2 linked regions of the Canis lupus familiaris genome follow. The protein of the gene in region 2 interacts with the protein of the main gene of each other region in a pairwise test. Links are inferred from orthologs where the notes say so. Each region holds a gene or a part of one and is shown on either strand. Other genes may lie near its edges.

The links.
Region 1: the proteins of PTPN6 (region 2) and LAIR1 interact in binary tests that used the Homo sapiens proteins (3 or more experiments, as listed by UniProt). The link is inferred for Canis lupus familiaris from reciprocal best matches to the Homo sapiens genes PTPN6 and LAIR1.

What each region holds. Positions count from the first base shown.
Region 1 is NC_049222.1:103,669,193-103,676,814, reverse strand, and holds the start of LAIR1 (leukocyte-associated immunoglobulin-like receptor 1), read right to left. Parts: upstream 4,409-7,622; 5' UTR 4,290-4,408; coding exon 4,256-4,289; intron 3,898-4,255; coding exon 3,862-3,897; intron 1,607-3,861; coding exon 1,325-1,606; intron 1-1,324. UniProt on the Homo sapiens protein: Functions as an inhibitory receptor that plays a constitutive negative regulatory role on cytolytic function of natural killer (NK) cells, B-cells and T-cells.
Region 2 is NC_049248.1:7,994,790-8,002,401, forward strand, and holds the start of PTPN6 (tyrosine-protein phosphatase non-receptor type 6), read left to right. Parts: upstream 1-3,675; 5' UTR 3,676-3,856; coding exon 3,857-3,864; intron 3,865-3,954; coding exon 3,955-4,077; intron 4,078-4,276; coding exon 4,277-4,471; intron 4,472-7,612. UniProt on the Homo sapiens protein: Tyrosine phosphatase enzyme that plays important roles in controlling immune signaling pathways and fundamental physiological processes such as hematopoiesis.

The DNA of each region.
Region 1 (7,622 bases), on a different chromosome or scaffold from region 2:
TTAAAATTTCGGACCACAAGGACCCTTTCCCTTATTTCCCCAAATAGATCCAGCGTTCAGCAGGTGGGTGTCTGGTGCCTACAAGGAAGTGAGAAGAAAACCCTGGGCAGCCCCGGTGGCGCAGCGGTTTAGCACCACCTGCAGCCCAGGGTGTGATCCTAGAGACCGAGATCAAGTCCCACATCGGGCTCCCTGCATGGAGCCTGCTTCTCCCTCTGCCTGTGTCTCTGCCTCTCTCTCTCTCTCTGAATAAATAAATTAAAAATCTTAAAAAAGAAGAAAACCATTCCTTCACGTTAGTAAGACCAGCACGTCTTCATGCTATCCCATTCAGCAGACCTGAGTGCCATGCCCTGCGTAAACCAACCCCTATATCCCTGAAACAGGGCTCCAGGGTCAGTACACTTACTGCCCCTTTGGCGCATAAGGAAATTGGGCCAGGTGTGATTTTGGTGATTCACCACCGGATATAGAGTCCCAAGGCAGGGCTGGAATCTCAATCCCTGCAGGAGCTGTGGAGCTTCTGCTCCGACCTTCAGTCTGCACAGCAATAGATGGGGCAGCAGGTGAGGCTGTGCACCCCCCACCCATCGGGTTCAGGGTTCTCCTAGAGGGGCTCTCTCTTCCTCTACCTGACCTAATGCCACTGTGGGGACATAACCATCAAGAGCCCTGGTCTCTCCCGCAGAGTCTGAGTTTGGAAGATGAGCTGTTAGTTTCTCTGTGCCTCTAGACCCAGGTTCCTTGCAGAGCTGCCAAGAGTAGGACCCTGCCCACAAGGGGGTGGCCACCACCTGAGGTCTGCCCCTCCCCCCCTTGGGCTGGTTCCACCCCTTCAGAGCTTTGTGCCTTTGGGCATGAAACCTGCAAGGCTTTGCACATTAGAGGAGTTGGGGGGGAGCTCTCAGAGGTCGGAGAGTGCCTCCCACATCCTGTGCTACTAGCATTGACTGCTTTCACAGCACTTGGCACAAGTAGTTCAACCAGTTAGTGGTGCCCTGCAGGTGGCAGCCCCTCACTGTGGTCTCACCAGTCCCTAACCCAAGCCTAGGGGGGTGGAGGCTGGGCCTGCAGCCCGATTGCCAGCATAGAGCACCCCCCCAGCAATGTCCCCAAGCATTGTTACTCACCAGCTGAAGAATAGATGTGTGTGTGTGTTGTGGGGGGTCCTCTGTGACCAGGGCAGAAGGACCGATGCTAGGTGGACACCCCCAGGGTCTATCCCACTCCTGGCCTCTCTGTACCCTGAGCACCCATCCGAAGGCCACATCCGGCCATCACTCAGGCCCAGAGAAATCTGAGGGCAGAGGTGAGATGTCCTCACCTGTCACCACCAGCTGCAGTTCCTTGCTGCGGTCAGACCAGGTGCCGTCTTTATTATAGAGGCAGCGATAGCGCCGGGCAGTGTCTTCACCCACCGCAGGGATGGGGAATCTGGCCTGCGTCTCATGTTGTGGGTTCCTCACATCTTTATGTAGAGCACTTCCCTCCTTCTCCAGGCGGAATGTCTCAGCCCCAGCAGGGCCCTGGCACACGATGGTCACCGGCTGCCCCCGGGGAATCTCAGAGCTCGGCTGGGCCCAGATGGAGGGGCTGGGCAGGACCCCTAGGAGGGAAGCAGAGCAGGTTCTTGGGGTCCGTTCTGAGGAGACAGCCTGTCCTGTCCTGGGAGGTGGGAGGGAGGTCATACATACAGACGGCTCCTACCCGTGGCCACTTTCTGGGGCTGATGGGGGGTGGGGTGGGCTGGGACAGAAACAGTGGATGAAGATGACAGGCCATTTGTGGGAACAAGGTAAGCAGGAGTCTGGAGTTGTAGGAATGGCTCCGGACGGGCTAGCCTCAGCTAGGGGGCGCAATCTGCGAAGCACCAGCTGAAGTCCAGTGCGGGGTGTGCTGGGACACCAGTTCACCTGGTCCCACAGACCTCAGTGGATGAGGATTCCTGTCTGCAATGCAAGTCTTCTGTGGAGCACCCATCTCTGGGTTTGCTCTGTCTTTTCTACTTTCATTTCAGCCTTATTTCTTTTTTTTTTTATTTTTTTTATTTTTTTTTATTGGTGTTCAATTTACTAACATACAGAATAACACCCAGTGCCCGTCACCCATTCACTCCCACCCCCCGCCCTCCTCCCCTTCCACCACCCCTAGTTCGTTTCCCAGAGTTAGCAGTCTTTACGTTCTGTCTCCCTTTCTGATATTTCCCACACATTTCTTCTCCCTTCCCTTATTTTCCCTTTCACTATTATTTATATTCCCCAAATGAATGAGAACATATAATGTTTGTCCTTCTCCGACTGACTTACTTCACTCAGCATAATACCCTCCAGTTCCATCCACGTTGAAGCATCTGCATCACTTGCCATCAGGGAAATACAAATCAAAACCACAATGAGATACCACCTCACACCAGTGAGAATGGGGAAAATTAACAAGGCAGGAAACAACAAATGTTGGAGAGGATGCGGAGTAAAGGGAACCCTCATACACTGTTGGTGGGAATGTGAACTGGTGCAGCCACTCTGGAAAACTGTGTGGAGGTTCCTCAAACAGTTAAAAATAGATCAGCCTTATTTCTACTTCCTTGTTTGTAACGCTCCTAAAAACCCCCGTCTGCCTCAGCTAGGCTGGCGGTGGAGGAAGAGGGGTTTTGTAGTCCTGAAAACAGGAAGGCAGCATCAAAGTTACAAAATCCCTCAGGTGTTATGCTATATGTTGGCAAATTGAACTCCAATAAAAAGAAATAAAAAAAATCCCTCAGGAGGCAGGAGCTGAGAGAGATTCTTTGCTCATTTGTCTGCCTACTCTCTTTCTTTCTTTCTTTCTTTCTTTCTTTCTTTCTTTCTTTCTTTTCTTCTTTCTTCTTTCTTTCTCCTTCCTTCCTTCCTTCCTTCCTTCCTTCCTTCCTTCCTTCCTTCCTTCCTTCCTTCCTTCCTTCTACTGTATTTTAGCATCTATGTATCCATGTACAGATGCTCTCCATGTGCCACTGGTTCTACAAACATGAGAAACACACTCATGATCCCTGCCTTCTCGGGGCTGAGAGTATTGAGGGAGGACAGACACTCATCAAATACTTGTCTGAGTCCACAGATGCAGACTGTGATGCATGCCCTGGGGGTGAGTACGGGAATTGAGGGGTCCTCTTGGGGAGGTTGGAAGGACGAGGCATCTGAGCTAAGAGCAGAGTGTCCAGTGTGAAGCACGCACACTGAGTAGAGAGCAGCAGCCAGGGCATTTGACCTAAAAAAAATCAGTGTGTGAGGAGGTCCAGAGTTGAAGGGGAAATGGTGTTTTTTGAGAAAGAAAGATGAGGTATCTGGAGGTAAGTGAGCTGGACAGTGTGAGGATGGACAGATCTAGACCAAAGAGCAGTTCGTGGGTCTTATTTGATCTGAGCAGAGATGATGAAAGGACTCTAAAAATCTAATATTTTGCCCCAAATAGAAAAAAATATGAAAAATAAATTCCAAAAATGTGAGTGAAATTTTAAAATTATCCTTGAAAAATCAAGTCACTGGTGATGTGTTTTGTATCGAGGATGAAGTTGGGATCAAGGATGGTGTCTGGGACTTGGCACTTGACGACTCTGCTCTCTGCCAAGGGGATGCTGAGAGGGGGGTCTGGGCTTGTGTGGGAGAGCCCTGGGCTCAGCCTGGTCCTGCACAGTTCTAATTGTTTAGGGGGGTGGCTGTCGGAAGCACAGGTGGGGAATAGGGAGAGAGTTTGCAAGGGTCATACATTGGCGATTGTTTGCAATTTGGGGCAAATTTCAGGGCCTCCTCCCAGGCCCTCCCAGGGTCAGCACCATCCTGTCCAGAGCTGCCTTTGGGATGCAAAGAGGATGAGGAGGAGACTCACCCTGCTGTGCGTGGAGCCCTCCACCCAGGCAGAGCGCTGAAAGAGAGGATCTGGTGAGAGAGAGACCACTCCCAGTTCCATCAGGGGCCACCCCAGTCCATCTTCTTGCTCTGAAATAGTCTCAAGACAAGCCCCCGGCCCCCTCTTCCAAATAGGTGCTTCTCTCCCCCAGCCCCTCTGGAGTCTGAATTAATCTCTGTTCTAGAACTGAACCCACATGGTCTGACCTAGGTTGTCTGGGGCAGGAGGTAGGGTGTTGACCTACTTCACTCCCCCAGGATCCTGGAGTCTTCTGGACTGGGGGCAGGACTGGGAAGGGAAGCAGGCCCCCTCCCCAAATCTTCTGCCCACTCACGCTGTCCCCCTAACCCTTTATTTCCATTTCAGGACTCACTGAGGGCCAGGAAGGTGGTCACATGGGGAAACATGCCGAGATCCCTGCAGCCTGCACCGTCCTGGAGCCACTGGGTAGGATAGAGCCTGCAGCCGACACGGGGACAGGATGTGTCAGCTGAGGCATGTTATGGAGTTTCTACATCAGCAGTCCCCCACAAAGAGGAAGCATGTTCCCCTGTCCTTCCCACTTGTCCCACTATGAGACAGAGCGAGGGTTTTGGCCTCCAAAAGATGCCTCTTCCTTCATGCTTGGATGAGGCTGAACTCACCCCCAGATGAACCCCTGAGGGGAAAACCTAATTTTCAACCTCAGGGACCAGGCAGGACATGGCTGTGTACAAGAAAGTGACTTGAATATCTGTCCCAGCTCCAAAAAAAGACCATCTGTTCTTGGGCAAGACATTATGCCACTTTACACCAACATTTCCTCATATTTGAAATGGGAAGCCTAGAATCTTCCTCCCAGCATTGACTATCATAATATTCGTTAAATTCTCAGTCACATGTTGAGAACTTTAAAAATGTTATGCTAACACTACGTTCCCTTCCCATCTTCCCCCAGTGACATTGGAACCAGGGAAATGTAGGGTGCCCACGAGTATATGCAAAACCCTCAAGGGGTGGAATGGCCAGGACACAGACCTCAGGCGCGGGACCAGATGGGACACCCAGCAGTCTGCTGAAATAAAGAGCAGAACCGGGGTGGGGAGCACACTTATGCATCACAGAGCCCAAAAGGACAGGAACCCCGGCACAGATTCTTGTGTCCACCGCTCTGCCAACCTGGAAGAGCCATTTCTCCCAGGCATGGCCATGGGGCACACTGATGGTAGTGACACAGCAGTCATTGCTCACTAGTTCCCTCCTAACAGGAACCTAGAGCTGTTGGAGTGGCTCTGCTCTAAGCTTGGGGCTGGCAGGGTGGGAAATGAAGTTTGGGTGAAGGCAATCTGGCAATCCCATTTCCAGTAATTGATCCAGAGTGGGGCACATGACCAAGTATGGCCAATGATGCTGAGAGCAGAATATACCACAATAACTGGGAATCCTATTTCTCCCTTAAAAATGTAGGGTCTCAGGACACCTTTGCCCCTTTACTGCTGTTCTTCACTAGCAACTGTAGCATGACAATGTGATAAAGCAGTAGCAACCACCTTACAGCCATGAGGCAACAAGCTTGAACAAAACAGCAGACACAACTGGTGTAGGACAACATGAGGTCTAGAATCTGTAGATTGCTAAACCAACCCAAGGACCCCATCCCCCTGGAATTCTTTTTTTAAAAAAATTATTTATTTATTTATGAGAGACACAGAGAGAAAGGCAGAGACTTAGGCAGAGGGAGAAGCAGCCTCCCTGCAGGGAGTCTGATGCAGGACTTGATTCCAGGACCCTGGGATCACAACCTGAGCCGAAGTAAGACACTCAATCACTAAGCCACCCAGGTGCCCTTCTTCCTGGAATTCTTAATAAGTAAAATCCTAGGTTTTCTGTCAAAATATTGGATAAGATATTATGCTGTGTGAAGTAAGCCAGTCGGAGAAGGACAAACATTATATGTTCTCATTCATTTGGGGAATATAAATAATAGTGAAAGGGAATATAAGGGAAGGGGGAAGAAATGTGTGGGAAATATCAGAAAGGGAGACAGAACGTAAAGACTGCTAACTCTGGGAAACGAACTAGGGGTGGTAGAAGGGGAGGAGGGCGGGGGGTGGGGGTGAATGGGTGACGGGCACTGGGGGTTATTCTGTATGTTAGTAAATTGAATACCAATAAAAAATAAATTAACTTTAAAAAAATATTGGATAAGAATATGGACCAACACTCCATCTTCAATTATAACAATTATTTTTAAAAACCTAAAGCTGCTTGATATAATATTTTAAAGAATATTCTCAAGTGCCTTAAAGATATGAAAGCTATAGGGAGGCTAAATAGTCAGAAATTAAAGGAAGTTGGGATTCCCCAGAGTCAAGCTGGATGGCTGAACCTGGCTCTCACCTTGACGGTGATGAGGTAAGTCTTCTCTCCCTGGCCTCACAGATCCTGGAGGCTAAAGGCTAAAGCCCAGAGGTCACCCTGGTCGAGGAGTCTGGGGAGACTCTCCCTTTGCTAGGCCAGAATCTGAAGCTTCCATTTTATTGTAAGAGTGAACTGAAATTACTCACCCATCTCTAAGGGCTGTCAAGAATACGTGTTTTGAAACAGGAGGCCAAAACTGCTTGCTCTTGAAAAATGACCTACACCAGCCAGCCCCGCGAATCTGCACCTTCCTCATCTTTTTTCTCTGTGTGTGTTCCCCCTGGGATCTATTTGTCTCTCTGTCTCTGTCTCTGTCTCCTTCCCTCCTTCTTTCCCACTCCCTCTCCCCTGCGGGATCTATTCCTGGTGGCATTGCCTCCTTTCTCTGCAACTCTGGCTTGCTCACTAGCTGTCCTCAGCATCATGGCCTGGTCCCCTGCTTTGCTTTGCAATCCTTATTCCCTGGAGTAATGCCTCCCACGAACAAAATCCTCCCTGCTCCGTTTTTTGCATAGTCTTTTTTTTTTAAAGATTTTATTTATTTATTCATAGACACAGAAAGAGAGAGGCAGAGACACAGGTAGAGGGAGAAGCAGGCTCCATGCAGGGAGCCGGATGTGGGACTCGATCCCAGGATCACACCCCAGGCTGCAGGGGGCGCCAAACCGCTGCGCCACCGGGCTGCCCTTTTGCGTAGTCTTTATGAGTGATTTTTAATCAGCTTTATTTAGGCATGATCTCATAAAACAAACCGCATCCACAAATGTGTGCAATCCGATGCGCTCCGGCAGCTGTGAAACCACCATCATCATGAAGATTTCCGTTGCCACAAAGAGTCCTTGTAACCTCTCTGCCCTCCCAGCAACCACTGATCTTTTTTCTTTTTTTCCTCTTTTTGGAAAACATTCATTTGCTCCATAACATTTTTTAAACAAACGTCTTACCCTAAAATAACGCTAGATTTGCAGAGAAGTTGCAAAGCCCCAGAGAGTTCCCACATGCCCTTCATCCAGACTCTCTAACATCAATATTTTGCATAACCAGGCCCCATCTGTCAAAACCAAGCAATTAACATTGATACAGTAATTAACTAAACTACAGACTGTATTTGGATGTTATCCATTTTTTCCCCGCTAATGTTCTTTCCCTGTGCCAGGATTCAATTCAGAGTACATATTGCATTGACTTCTTTCTCTTTTTCAAATACATAAAAGACTTTCTGTTTTCCTGGTTGGATCCTAATTAATACTCTCAACATACCTGCATATGCCCAGGAAGATGTGGGGATGGGTTGGCAACTTAGAATAGGAATGGCTGAAAGCACCAGTACTATAGGCTCC
Region 2 (7,612 bases):
GTCTGAAAGGCAAATCTGACAGAGCTCCCCCTTTCCACGTAACTTCCCAACATCTGGTGTTCATGCCACCTTCTTTCCGTGTCCCTTCATTTCCCCCTCCCACGTATCATTTCTTCTATAGATGCATGTTGAGCATGTTAGGGGCCAGGTACTTTTTGAGATGCTGGCAGCCATGTAGTGAAGAAGACAGACACAGTCCTTGCTCTCACTCTTCATTCAAGTGGGAGGCAATAGACACCACAAAGAATCCAATAAATAGGACTAATTTTAGATTTTCAGAAGTGTTATGTGGAAAACGAAGGTGGCTTCTTTGTGTGCTTGCAAATGATTGGGAGCGCCAATGGCATCATTAACTGGAGGGATCCAGGAGGGCTTTCCTGTGGAGATGGCAGGTACACCGAGAGCTGGATGATGATTAAGAGCCAGCCAGGTGGTGACCAAGAGTCAAACGCCTGGGAGGCACAGGCCCTGCTGTGGGAACAAAGGAAGGGGTGCACAGAGCAAAGCAGTGGAGAGGGAGACATGGACCCGCAGTGTCATGTGTGGCCAGGATGGTGTGTCCATGTGTGGGTATTTGCACTGGGCCAGGTACGTGTGTAGATGGACACAGATGGTGAGGTGCATGCACAGAGTGGGACTGTGTGTGCATGTGTATGTTTGTATGTCATCTGTGTATGACAAGCAGGGTGTGTACGTGTAGGACTGAGAGCTGAACATGCCTGTGCATGGCTATTGGTGAGCTTGTTTATTGGACACGTACTCTGCATGAGGCACTATGCTAGCCTTTGAACTTCCGAAGGTGAGCATGACTGACTGTGGACCCCCGCACCCCCTGCAGTGGAGCCCACTCTGCAGATCCTCTTTATGCCTCTAGCTCAGGGAAGGGATATGTGGGCTTTCGGTGGGGCTCAAAGTCCAAGACTGAAAGGGTAGTCAGTATTAGGTCATAAAATAAACAGAACAAATTTCCCAGGTATCAGAAAGGAGGGGGGAAAGGGGGAAAGCCCATTTTTTGGGGGAGAAATTGATGTTTGAAAAAGTGATAAAGTAGTCATTGTAGGAAACCAAGACTTTAACTGAGCTTTGGCACTTTGTTTATTTTTCTTACTTTTTATTGAGGTATAGCATAGTTTTCATGAATGTTAAGCAAACGGCCTGATGAACATCATGTTAAATACACCAGCCAGATTAAGATGCAGAGTGTTCCCAGCACCCCAGTGGTTTCCTAGAAATTGCCATCTCCCAGTCAACTTATTTATTTTTATAAAGGTAATACATATCCATGCTATAACATTCAAAAAAAAAATGTAGGCGAAGAAAACATCCAGATCACCAACAGACACATGCTCAACATCGCTCATCATCAGGGAATGCAAGTCAAACCCACAATGAGATACCATCTTATATTCGTCAGAATGGCTAGAGTCAGAAAGACAAGAAATAACAAATGTTGGTGAGGATGTGAAAAAAGGGACCCTTGTGCACTGCTGGGCGGGGGGGAGGTCAATTGGCCCAGCCACTGTGGAAAACAGTATGGAGGTTCCTCAGATAATTAAAAATAGAAAAACCATTTGATCCAGTAATTCCACTACTGGGTAATTACCCACATAAAACAAAAACACTAATTTGAAAATTAGTGAAAATTTGCCACTACGTTCACTGTGGCATTATTTACAGTAGCCAAGGTAAGGAAACAATCCAAGTGTCTAGCGACAGATGAATGGATAAAGAAGATATAATACATACATACGATGGAATATTACTTGGCCATAGAATGAATAAGATCTTGACATTTGTGACAACATGGATGGATCTAGAGGGTACTAGTGAAATAAGTCAGGGAAAGACAAGAACATATGATTTCACTTATACGTAGAATCTAAAACACAAAACAAATGAACAAACCAAAAGCAGAAACATCCATAAACACAGATAATAAACTGATGGTTGCCAGAGGGAAGGGGGAGGGGAGAGGGACAAAATGGGTGAAAGGGGAGTGGGAGGTCCAGGCTTCCAGTTACAGAGTGAAAAACCATGGGGATGAAAGGCACAGCATAGGGAATATAGTCAGTGGTATTGTAATAATGTTGGATGGTGACAGGTGGTTGCTCTGCCTGTGGTGAGCGGAGCGTACTACATAGTCTTGTTGAATCACTATGTCGTACACCTGAAACTAACAACATTGTGTGTCAACTACACGTCAATTAAAAAAATAAAACCGGCATAAGGGAGATGTAAATATCCCTCTCAGCCCTCTCCCCCAGGCTCCCTCCCTGGGGGAAGCCACCAATCTGAGTTTTCTGTGTTTCCTTTGTTGGATTGCTTTCCTCTTGTTTTGGTTTGGTAGCATTTGTGTGTTTTTTTTTTTTAATTTTTATTTATTTATGATAGTCACAGAGAGAGAGAGAGGCAGAGACACAGGCAGAGGGAGAAGCAGGCTCCATGCACCGGGAGCCCGATGTGGGACTTGATCCCGGGTCTCCAGGATTGCGCCCTGGGCCAAAGGCAGGGGCCAAACCGCTGCGCCACCCAGGGATCCCAGTGTTTGTATGTGGAATTACACATGGGGATCATCATGAGCTCCTGGGGTGTAGGGCCTCTCAATGTCAACCAGCCCTGAGAATATCAATCATGGCAGGGACCTCGGTCCCCAGCCCACAGGAGACAGGCCCCTAGTCACAGTCCTGAGCTCTGAGCCGATTCAGACCAGACCCCTTGACAAGAATCTATGGCTCAGGCATAGGGTGGACATACCCAAGGGGGCTACCCCCACCTGCATTCCTAGATCTGCTGCCCCTTGCATTCTGTTCCTTGGCTCCACTACCTGGTTAGGGCACAGTGGGGCAAAGACTTGGGATAAGAAGTAGAAAAGGTGTAAGTCTGACAGCTGTGCAGGAGTCATTCTGTCCATCCCTCTGTCCCGGTGGTGCCTCTTCAGATGTGTGTGCCAGAGGAGGTGAGGGTGCCTTTCCCTTTGCAAGCATCTGCTTGGCCTTGGCTATTATTTCTAATAAAGTATCCCCTTCCCTGCAGCCCCCAGTGGACAAGAGGTCCCCACCTCTGTCCTTTGAGTCCCCAGGGGCTGGCATACAGCTGCTAAAATCCCTGGCTTGGGAACCACAGTGTGAGGTCACATCCCAGCACCACCCCTTACCGACTGGCTGACCTCAGGCAAGTTCCCTACATTCTGTGAGCCTCAGATTCCTCCTCTGTAAAATGGGGGAAAAAACAGCATGTGCTTTGTGGGGCTATTAGGAAGAATAAACCAGATGAGGTACATAAATGACATGCTAGCATGGTGCCTGGCCTACAGTGAGACTCTGTGGAACGAGAGTTGTCACCGTCACCATTATCACGAGCTTGGACAGGGGAGGGGAAGGGTGTGTGGAAGCAGCCTGTGGAGGAAGATGAGATGGCCTGTGACTGCAGGGGTTCATGCTTATGAAGCGTGGCCTCCACACATCAGGTGCCAGGCATAGCTGTGTCCCTATGTTGTGTGTCGTCACGTTTGCAGAGTGCCATGCTCCTGGAGCCTTTGATGGCAGCCGTGTGGGAAGTGGGCCCCATCCCCACCCCCACTGCCACCCCGCTTGGCTTCTCTTCGCTCTGCCCTAAAACGAGAAGTACAGTGAGTTCCCCCAAGGGGTCGGCCGCGCCCCTTCCTGTCCCCGCCCTGCTGCCGGCTGGCCCTGGGGCCAGTGGAGTGGCAGCCCCAGAACCCACGGCCAGGGCTGACAGGCAGCCTGGGCGCTCGAGCAGAGCCGTGTGGAGGCCTTAGGCCCAGAGCTCTCTGCCCGCCCGGACTCGCCAGTGCACCTCGTTCCCTGCACCCCTTTCCTCTCAGGGAGCCCCCAGGATGGTGAGGTAAGGTCCTGGGGCCTGCGGGATGCAGGAGGCAAGGGGGCCCTGCGGATGGAAGGAAGGACCTCTCCTCATTGCTCTGCGGGCCTCCAGGTGGTTTCACCGAGACCTCAGCGGGTTGGATGCAGAGACCCTGCTCAAGGGCCGCGGTGTCCATGGAAGCTTCTTGGCCCGGCCCAGTCGCAAGAACCAGGGTGACTTCTCCCTCTCCGTCAGGTAGGTGGCCCCCAACTCCGGCCAGGGCAAGTGGCTCCCTTCTGGTTCCCTTGTGGCAGTGCCGACTCCCCAGGCCCCGGCACCCAATGTGTCCCCCCCGCCCCCTGTGTGTGCCTGGGACTCTGGACCTCAGCCCATCCCCCCTCTGTCCCCATCTCTCCTCTTGCACCCACTGGTCTCACCACCCGGTGCCCTGCAGGGTGGGGGATCAGGTGACCCACATTCGGATCCAGAACTCAGGAGATTTCTATGACCTGTATGGAGGGGAAAAGTTTGCGACGCTGACAGAGCTAGTGGAGTACTACACGCAGCAGCAAGGCGTCCTGCAGGATCGAGATGGCACCATCATCCACCTCAAGTACCCGCTGAACTGCTCCGACCCCACCAGTGAGAGGTGAGGGGCTTCCTGGCCCACTCCCACGTGGAGGCGGGCTGACTTCCACCCTGTCCTGCCCAGGGCTCTGTGGGCCTCTTTCTTCTGTGTGATCCCAGGCTCATGCCTCAGGGGACATCACCTTCCCCTTTTCCAGGGTCTCCACCAGCTGGCAACCCAGGCCCTCCTAGTGATGGAGAGGCCTAGTGGCTACATTTGGTAGTAGGCCAGCTCTGTTGTTAGAAAGCTCTCCTTCCTTCTGTGGAAACAAATCTGCCTTGCCATACTATTCTTTCCTCCAGGACAGGTTAATACATGGAGAGATTGATGTTGAGGAGGAACATAGGGACTTATATTTATGAGGACATTTAATGCTTTATCTCAGTAACACAGTGATGACGGGTCTCCTTTTGGGGACTTGGGAGAGCTTGACCAGTCCCTTGCCTGGAACACAGATCGGTGGATAACTATGATATGGTCGTGTGTGCAAGGGGCCTAGTATCTGGGCACAGGGTAGTACTCAAGGCATTGCCCTCCTGTCCCCTTTGGCTCCAAAGATGTGGTCTCCAGGACCGGGCAGGCTGCCCCTCACATGGTCTCCCTAAAGCATGGGTGGGGGTTGGGAGCCTGAACACTCAGCGTTACACTGGGGGCTTATTTCAGCAGCTGTATCCCAGTGACAGCTCCATTAAGGTGAATGGCAGACGAATAATTCTAGTAGCTTTTTTTTTTTTTTTTTTTTTTTACGTTCTGGGGCCAAGGCAGCTTGCTCTTGTCCTGTATTTGTGCATTGACTGTTGACCTAATGATGGACCTTGATTCCATCAGTTTTCACTCTTTCTAAGATGCATGCCTCTTAACTTGCCCAGTATTTTTGTTCAAGTCACTGATGGCAAGTTTGAGATGCGTGAGGATGAGGCCTAGGTGAGGGCCTCGTGGCCCACTGCTGGACACCATTCTCCAGCCAACATGAAGCCATCAATCCGTTTCCTTTGAAGCCACCTCTTGGAGGAGTAAAGCCCAAGCTTGGATGACTGCTCATGGTGGCCCTCCTTGGTCCTTTCTTGGTATCCACACCCTTTTGCCCTCTTCCTCCATCCTGCTGACAGCATTCATGGGGGTTTGCCACTCAGACCCTCTTGAACTCTTGGGGTCCTCTCTTCCTCTTTGGCCTAAACCAGCCTCTGCCCTGCTAGATGGTGGGCTGGTGGAGCCCCTAGAGGAGCAGGAGGTTGTGGATGGAGCCAGAAGAAGGAAGGAGAAGCTCTCCTTGGGAGAGCCTGAGGCCTGGAGTAGCAGGAGGAGGACAGAGCTGGGGGCTGGCAGGGAGGGAAGAATAGAGGGTATTGAGGCCAGGGAAGCTGACTCTCAGAAGCCTTTTTGGTCCCTCACATCAGGACACCTGGCTAACCCCTGACCTTGGGATTGTGTATGGGAGGCTCTTTCTCCATCCCTCTCTTGTGTTCCTGGCTCTGGAGGCTGCCCCTCCTCCTCTGAGGGAATTTGCATTTGTCCCGCCAATGGCTAGCACTCTGCCTGTGGTCAGCCTGATATTTGCATGGAAACTTCCTCATCCTGGGCCAGGGGGACGAGGGTCAGCCCCCACCCCATTGCCAGAGTGGGCGTGTGTGTGTGGGGTGTGCCCTGGTCTATCCCTGAATGGTGGGGTGGGGTGGCCTCCCAGGTACTGCTCCTGGACAGGGCAGGAGTGTGTCTGGGCAGGACCCATGTGCTCCTCCATCCTCCCCCCCATCCCTGCGGTTGGAAAATGCCCCCTCCCCTGGTCCCTGGGCTGAGGAAACCTCACACCCTCACTTCTCACTCTCTCCCCAGAAGGAGTTTTGTGTTTTTTCCATCACGTGGTTTCCTGTGGGGCTGGGCATTGTGGGGCTACGGTTTCCTCCTGGGAAGGGGGTGTGCTTCGGGGAAAGGTCCTAGTTCTGCTTTCTGCCCTTTCTGAGCCCCTCTGAGCCCCAGTCTCCCCTCCAGTGATGTTATCCTGAGCCCCCCAGAGCCCCCCAAACCACCGCTTCCCCCGCAGGGTTGTCTGTCTTCCCTGTTATTGAGGGGTTGGTGGCCCCATGAATCCCTTGTGACCCCCATCTCCACTGCCCTTGCTGTTTGGCCTCTTTGTTTCTCTTGGTCTCCCTCCTCTTTCCCTAATCAGTCCTGGCTTTCCTGGGACCCTTCCTCAGTTTTTCCCCTCCAGTTGTTCTGCATATGGCCTGCCTTTCTGTCTCTGGCTTAACACTCTCAGAGGCAGGTCTGGTTAGAACTCCCGAAGCTTCCTTAGCAGGCCAGGGCCTTGGGCCAGTGTACGATCGCTCAGCTTCAGGTTCCTCGTCTGTAAAATGAAATGGTCCCTACCTCTCAGCATTTTTGTGAGAGCAATGGACCTAAATATGGTGGTGGCTTTGAGGGGTGCCTGGCTGGCTCAGTTGGAGGCGCGTGCAACTCTTGATTTCGGACTTTAAGTTTGAACCCCACGATGGGTGTAGAGATGACTTTAAAAAAATCGTTAAGCCACTTGCGTGGCTCAGTTGGTTAAGTGTCTGCCTTTGGCTCAGGTCATGATCTCAGGGTCCTGGGATCGAGTTCTGCATTGGGCTCCCTGCTCAGCTGGGAATCTGCTTCTTCCTCTTCCTCTCCCTCTGTCCCCCTGACTCGTGCTCTCACACATTCTCTCTCTCTCTCTCTCAAATAAATAAAATCTTTAAAAAAAAGTCTTGGGGTGCCTGGATGGCTTAGTCGGTTAAGTATTTGCCTTTGGCTTCGGTCGTGATCCCAGGGTCCTGGGATGGAGCCCCACGTCGGGCTCCTTGCTCCGAGAAGACTCTGCCTCTCCCTCTCCTTCTGCCTCTCCCCACCCACCTCTCATGCTCTCTCACTCACTGTTGCTCACTCTTTCTCTGAAATTTTTTATTTTATTTTGTTTTATTTTATTTTATTTTATTTTATTTTATTTTATTTTATTTTATTTTATTTTATTTTATTTTATTTTATTTTATGAGAGACACAGAGAGAGAGAGAGAGCTGCAGAGACACAGGCAGAGGGAGAAGCAGGCTCCATGCAGGGAGCCCGACGTGGGACTCGATCCCAGGACCCTGGGGTCACACCCTGGGCTGAAGGCGGCGTTAAACCGCTGAGCCACCCAGGCTGCC